Rattus norvegicus: one gene and its partner. The protein of the gene in region 1 interacts with the protein of each later gene in a pairwise test. Links are inferred from orthologs where the notes say so. Each region holds a gene or a part of one and is shown on either strand. Other genes may lie near its edges.

Region 1 (3,649 bases):
TTTGTCTCTTTTGTCAATAACAATTTGAATGTAGACCAATGCTATAATATTTAATCATTAGTTATTGCCAAAATTCAAATGAATGCTGTATTTCACCCTCAGAAACTAGAAGCCAATAATCTTGAAGTTAAAGCAAGCAGGGAGCAAGCTGTGCAGAGCCTACAGCAGCAGAGGCAGCTGAGCACAGACCTAGAGCTCAGGAATGCAGAGCTCAGGAAGCAGCTTCAAGAGCAGAAGGAAGTGTAAGCGACCTTCTATTTTATATCCGTAAGCTTTCGGCTGTTCACACCGTTCACAGACAGGCATGAAGTGTGGTTTGTTTCAGTGTGTGTGTGTGTGTGTGTGTGTGTGTGTGTGTGTGTGTTTTCCCATGCACACAGTACTGGTTGTATATACTATCAATGTTAATGTCAGTGAAAAATAAGGCCTTCATTACTTGGTTGATGTTAACTTCATTTTCCATTGTTCACTTAGTTCTATAAATTCCAGTCACTCTTCAGCAGTAATATGGTACCATTTTCTCTTGAGCATTCATTTTGAGTTGTTCACCAGTTTGAAATAGTTAATATAAAAATTTTAAAACTGCAATTTGTATATATATCACCTGCGAACAGTCAAGTTTCTGCTTTGAGGTTCTAGACTAAGTACAGAGTGGATTTTTTCTCATTAGGAATGATTTTTTTCAACTTTGCCATGGGTCTTTGCAGCTTTGATGTTATTGGGTACATGTTTGGTTTCTCTGGCTGTGATGAAACACTAAAAGAAATCTTGGGAAGAAAAGGTTTGCTACACCTTACAGGTTAGAGTCCATCGTCAAAGGCAGGCAGGTCTAGGGGTGGAGGCAGGGACCTGGAGGCCGGAAGTGAAGCAGAGGCCATGGAAGACTGCTGCTTCCTTCTTGCTTCTCAATGGCTTGCTTAGTCTATTTCTCATACAACTCAGAACTCTGCGCTGGGCTAGCACTGCTTGCAGTAGGCTAGGCTAGGCCTTTGAACATCAGTCATCAAAGAAGTGAATCCAGGCTTACCACTAGCCAGTCTGATGGGAGCGTCTTCTCAGTTTGCTTGCGCCCATTGACAGAGAACAACCTGCACATTGAGGGAAGGACAACACCAGAACCAGCACACACTCTTTTTTTTTTTTTTAAAGATTTATTTGTTCATTACACTGTACACCGTAGCTGTCTTCAGACACACCAGAAGTGGGCATCAGATCCCATTACAGATGGTTGTGAACCACCATGTAGTTGCTGGGAATTGAACTCAGGACCTCTGGAAGAGCAGTCAGTGCTCTTAACCGCTGAGCCATCCCTCCAGCCCCCAGCGTACACTTTTAAAGATGGATTTTTTCACTTGCTCATTCTTGTAGCTTATTCATTCTGGCATTAAAAAACCCATGTATTAAAGGATCAATGATAACGGACCATTTTATAATCTGAAGTTAGATAAACCATTTGTCTTTATTTTTGAAGTAAAATGATTCCTTTAAAAATATCTTACATTATGTTAAAATATGTTTACATATGCTAAAATGTTTAAAAATATCTTACATTATGATATTTAAATTTATCAACATAAAATATGTTCTATATTTCTAAGGGAAGAGACAGAGTTCCATTTATGTGTAAGAAATAACACACTGATTCGGTACTTTATGGGGCCTGGAAAACCTTTGCTGGCGCTTGTAGACCCTCTAGGATTTGTTATCTGAATTTCTCTGATGACTTACGGTGGTGGACAAGACTTGATTAAGTTAGGGAATGGAACTAACTTGGCCCTTGCTAAGGAAATCATGTGTATCTAATGAGATGTTTTAAGGCAGTTTTCAGTGTTTTTAAAGTTATTTTATTTTTCCTTCTGAGCCATATAAAAAATTCAGTAATCACTTATGAATAATTTTGATTGATAAATTTTATATTACATTAATTTTAGAAATTCCTTTTTAATCCAGAGTATCTCATACAAAATTGGATCTACAGAATAAATCTGAAGCCCTTGAAAATATTAAACAAACCCTCACTAAGAAAGAAGAAGAAAAAGTTGTCTTGAAACAGGAATTTGAAAAGTTAAGTCAAGATTCAGAGGCGCAGCACAAGGAGCTGAGTGACAGGATGCAAGCTGCGATCACAGAGCTGATGGTGATGACAGCACAGAAGGACGCTCTCCTGGCTGAGCTCTCCACAACAAAAGGGAAACTGTCAAAAGTTTCAGATTCTTTACAAACCTCCAGGAGCGAATTTGAGAAAGAGAGTCAGAAAGGAAAGGCTGCTGTACTAGACTTGGTTAGTTGTTTATGTTTCTTTTCATAGGTAGAAGTCATCTTCTTAATTAAAGTGCTCTAATGGGATGTGTGTGGGGGCCAGTTTATTTCCCTTTATTTTTCTTTCTAACCTGATCAATCATTTGTAAGTTATTACAGATGTTTTCAGTGTGATATTTCTTTATTAGGAAAAAGCTTGTAAAGAATTAAAGCATCAGCTTCAACAACAAACAGAAAGTGCACTGAAGGAGCAGAGTGAACTGAAAAAGTCACTGGAGAAGGAGAGAGAGGTACAGTGCTCTCTTACTGTAAACATGTGGAATATAATGGGCTTTTTTGTTAATTTTTCTTACCCTGATACAGAAATCAAGAGAATGCTTATTTCTGCAAAATAAAATGGCTTATGTGTTTATTTTAAAATTGTTACTTGTGTTCTAGTTATCACTAACAAAGTTTAAATTCATTTAAAATGTAAGGGCCTAGTAAAGAAATGGTTAGTTGATTCAGTTTTCTTTTTCTTAATTGTATAAGAGTTTTAATTAGATAAGGTTAAAGAACATTATAGTTGAAAAAATAATAGCATCTTAAACTTACTTCATTTGTTGCCCCAGTTTTCTCTTTATTTCTATGATAAACACTGACCAGAAACAGGTTGGGAAGGAAAAGATTTGGCTTACCCATCCCCAGGCACAGCCCATCATTGAGGGAGGTCAAGGCAGGGACTCAGGCGGAGTCCTTGGAGACAGGCTCTTTACTAGTTTACTCCCAAAGTTTGCTCACTTAGGTCTTGATACCCAGGACCACCTGGCCAGAGGGCAGCACCCACAGTGGGCTGGGCCCACCCATGTCAGTCATCAATCATGAAAATGCCCCCCAGACTTGCCCACAGGGCAGTTCCTCAACTGAAGCTCTTCTTCCAAGATTGCTCAAGCTTAGGTCAAATTGACAAAAACCAACACCACATAGACAGTGACAATATTAGTGACAAGAAGATATTTCTGGACTTCTACACAGTAACCAAATGGTTCATGTCACTAATCGCCTGTGAATAAATCATACTTGGAAGGTGGCTAAAGGTTCAATAATATCTTTGAAAGTACTGTGTTGCTTGTAGCAGATACTCAGAGAATGTGTTTTCAATGAATAAATGAGTCAAATAAGTTTCAATTTCTTTTAGACTTCTCAACAGTTGATGATAGAACTCAATTCAGTCAAGGGAGAAGTCACACAGGCTCAAAATACATTAAAGCAGAAGGAGAAAGAAGAGCAGCAGCTTCAGGGGAACATAAATCAGCTGAAGCAAGCAACTGAGCAAAAGAAAAAGCAAATGGAAGCTCTTCAAGGAGAGCTTAAAAACGTTACTTCACAAAAGGTACTGATGACACTGTTT
Region 2 (3,749 bases), about 31 Mb from region 1:
TACTGGGAACAAGCCTTGGGTCTTCTGGGTTCAACCCTCAGTACCGGAAAAAATCCTCAGCAAAGCTGTCCAAATATTTTTTCAAATTTACAAACAATTGAGAAAATATCAACAATGTGAAAATTTAGGAGGCTAAAGTATCTTCCTTCAGACTACCACTTTCTGTTGTCACGGTTTTTACATGATCAAAACATTAGGCAATCCACCCAAAAAACTCGTGTTCTCTAATGCTCCACTAAGAAGAATTTACAAGGTAAAATTCCCCTGGTTTCAGGTCTTTCTTAATTTGACAGAGAAAGCGGGGCATCGGTGTAATCCAGGCCAAGGGGAGAAGAGAGAAGGTTAATACTGGTTTTTTGTTCGTTTTTTAAGACTATGTAGCTTGGAACTTTGTAGACCAGGCTGGCTTGAATCTCATTGAGATCCTCCTGATTGCTAGGATTAAATAAATGGGCCGCCAAGCCCACCCCTTGAGCCCCCCACCCCCAAACTGAGATCATGTTAATGAGGAGCCCGGGCTAGTCTCAAACTCACTAGTAGAGGATGAAGACCTAGCACTGCCTCCACCTCAGTCCACAGTGCTGGGATTAGGATTGCCACACCACACCCGACCAAAAGCCTTTCTAAGGCTTCTTTCGCGCTATCCTTGCCTGCCTGTCAAGTTCGGAAATTTCCCAGTACTGGTTAAGATTTCCATTTGACCCGCCTTCTTCACTCACCTGATTAGATGTTTACGAGTCAAAAGGCGGGGGAGGGGTGTCACGGGTGTCGAGGTTTTATTGGCTGAGGCACATGCCTGTCAGTGCTGCACTGCCCCCTTTCCCAGAAGCACTCTCTTTAATGGCTACTCATCCCGCCAATCTTCAAGGCTTCTCGTTTAGGTATTGGCTTGCGGCCTCGCCAGTCTGGTCCCCACTTGTACTAGTTGGTGACAGTCCCTCAAAGCCCGCCTTTCTCCAGAGGATTGGCGGGTGAATGCCCATATAGCCCACCCACCACGGTAGGCGGGTGGTCTTGGGATTGGCTGGAGCCTCCGCCCGCGAGGAGGAGGAGGAGGCGAAGGGGGCAGGAGTTTGGTTGAGCTGCAGCTGTTTGTCTGTTCCACACAGGCTTGGGCCCGACGGGGGAGACGGAGCCCCAGGTACCGAGCTGATGGAGCCCACAAGGGCAGAGGCGGAGGTCCCGAGAGGAGCGCAGCCTTGCCTGCGGCAGAGGCGGGTCGGGCCGACGCCAGGGCTCGAGAGCCTCCTGGAGCGGGCAAAAGGGGCTGTCCCGCAGGCCTAGTGGGCGCCGAGGAGGTGATCGGCAGGGCTGGGAGCCGAGCCTCTAGTTGGGAGGCGGCTGGGTTCTGGCTGCGGCCGCTCGGGGGCCGGGCGCGGGGACCCGGAGCCGGTGAGGACCAGGGCCTGCCTCGGGACTCTGAGCAGCGCGGTGTGGAGGGAGGAGCTGGGGTCGGGGACTAGGCAGTGAGGGAGGGGAAGCCAGCCCATTTGGCAGGAGGTGTGGAGGGGACAGTGCTACACCCAGCCCCGGGGGTAGCGGAACCTGGATCTCTAGAGACATCCACTGTCGGGGTTCCTAGCCAAATGAGAGGCATTCTTTTCAGGGAAAGTGACTGTTGAAAGGGGAACTAGGGGTACACTGGTGTAGCCGAGGGATTTGGTCCCTGAAGTAAATGAAGAATGCATTACTGATCTAGAAGACCAAAGTAGAAGGAAGTAAGCAGGGCCTGGTATCAGTTATGGGAACTTCTGGAATGATGGTGTATCTTGGAAGTTCCTTACTCTTTTGTTCCTTTAGTGCTTGGGTGTGGTGATTTGAAGTTTTGGGGTACTTCTTGAGTAGGGAATGAAGACAAAGTAAAATTATGTTTTCCATGGTTCCTGGTAGCTCCAAGCTCAGCCCCCCTACACTTTTTACCCTGACCTCATAGCTGGTCTTGACTGCACTCTTCTTTACTTTCTGTTACTGTATTCGTTGTTTTCCCTATTTCATGTACTGTGAGAGAACTAAGAAAATTTGGGAGTGCTTTGCTCAGTCTTTCCCACTTCATAATGCAGTCTGTGGTGACTACTCTTAACTTTTACCTAGAATTGAGGAACTCTGTCATCTGCATGAAAAGGGGCAAAGCAATCCCCAGCCATTTAAAAAAAAGAAAAGTACCATGTCTGTGAGACTTGCACTTGAGCATTTCCTAGGTAGTTAATGGAGGTCTCCACGCCAGGAACTGTGAGGTGATATCCCTGAAGGGATTTGGGAAAGAGTTGAGAAGTTACCTACCAGAAGGTTGGCACCACCCTTTCTTCTTTGTCCACTTATTCAGGAGTCATTTCTCTTTCTCTTTCTCTCTTTCTCTTTCTCTCTCTCTCTCTCTCTCTCTCTCTCTCTCTCTCTGTGCGTGTGTGCGTGTGCGTGCGTGTGCGTGTGCAAGCTACAATACATGTGTGGAGATCAGAGGACAACTCTTGTGGGTGTTCAGTACTCAGGCTTGGCAGCTTAGAAGATGGATTTATTAATGCCAGACAAATGGGAGTCCTCCCTCTCTCTCTCTCTCTCTCTCTCTCTCTCTCTCTCTCTCTCTCTCTCTCTCTCACACACACACACACACACACACACACACACACAGAGGAAGGGTTTTGCTGACCTGTCAAGTTTTCTATAGATTGGACCCTTTTGGTTTCTCCCTTAGGGTTCTGCCTCCTCTTTCTTTTCTGTACTAATGCTATTTATCACAGCATTCATTTTGTTCTCACTACATAGTGTATGCATATGTACTACATACATGCGGGATCCCTCAGAGGTCACAAAAGGTATTAGGTCTCCTGGAACTGGAGTTAAGGACAATTATTAGCTGCCACGTGGGTGCTGGAAACTACACAGGTCTGTGCAAGAGCACTAACCTGGGGCCGAGCCATCTCAGCAGCTTGCATCACTACGTTTCTTAATTACCAAAGTAACGCATATGTGAAAGTGTTTATGCTGCACAGACATATGTAAAATCTGAGTCCTTCTACACATAGCGTATTTCATTTAGGACAGTTAGAGATATTAAATAAGACTAAACAAGAGAATACTGTGGGAAGAATGAGACTGTAATTAGTGTGCACGTGAGAAAAACCCAAGCAGAGACAGGTTTTCTCATCTGCCCCAAGTGCTGTTCATTCTCCCCATTCTCGGTACTTTCTTGGCTGACACTCTGTTCTTCATTGTGTTCCTTTTGCAGTCCATCTCTATCAGGTTCAGAGCTGTCCTTTGACTTAGCAGCTGCTCTCTTCAGTGTTCATTCACACAGCCATGCACTGGGTAGCCTAGAAACTGCCCAAATGCACCAGCAACTTTCTTTTTTTTTTTCTAGTTTTTTTTTTTTTTTTTCCCCCGGAGCTGGGGACCGAACCCAGGGCCTTGTGCTTCCTAGGTAAGCGCTCTACCACTGAGCTAAATCCCCAGCCCCACGAGCAACTTTCTTATGGGCAAGAAAGAAACATCAGAATCAGAAACCCCATCTTCATTCAAATTTTCCCAGTACTTGACTGTCTCTTCCTTATCTTAGGGAGATGACAACCGTTCCAGACCCAAAAAGTTCCCATCTTTCTCTGAATTTGAACTTGACTTTTTTGACTTTCTGAAGCCCTCTAATATGCTCCTTGCACAGTGTCCAGCAAAAACCTCAGCCCCTCCCCACAGGTTTTCTCCCTTACACAGCCAGTCGTGTGTGTGTGTGTGTGTGTGTGTGTGTGTGTGTGTGTGTG

Evidence for each region.
Region 2: the proteins of Eea1 (region 1) and Rab5b interact in binary tests that used the Homo sapiens proteins (3 or more experiments, as listed by UniProt). The link is inferred for Rattus norvegicus from reciprocal best matches to the Homo sapiens genes EEA1 and RAB5B.

What each region holds. Positions count from the first base shown.
Region 1 is NC_086025.1:32,578,521-32,582,169, forward strand, and holds part of Eea1 (early endosome antigen 1), read left to right. Parts: intron 1-102; coding exon 103-242; intron 243-1,950; coding exon 1,951-2,281; intron 2,282-2,447; coding exon 2,448-2,549; intron 2,550-3,436; coding exon 3,437-3,631; intron 3,632-3,649. UniProt on the Homo sapiens protein: Binds phospholipid vesicles containing phosphatidylinositol 3-phosphate and participates in endosomal trafficking.
Region 2 is NC_086025.1:1,710,118-1,713,866, reverse strand, and holds the start of Rab5b (ras-related protein Rab-5B), read left to right. Parts: upstream 1-1,130; 5' UTR 1,131-1,298; exon of another isoform or gene 1,299-1,392; intron 1,393-3,749. UniProt on the Homo sapiens protein: The small GTPases Rab are key regulators of intracellular membrane trafficking, from the formation of transport vesicles to their fusion with membranes.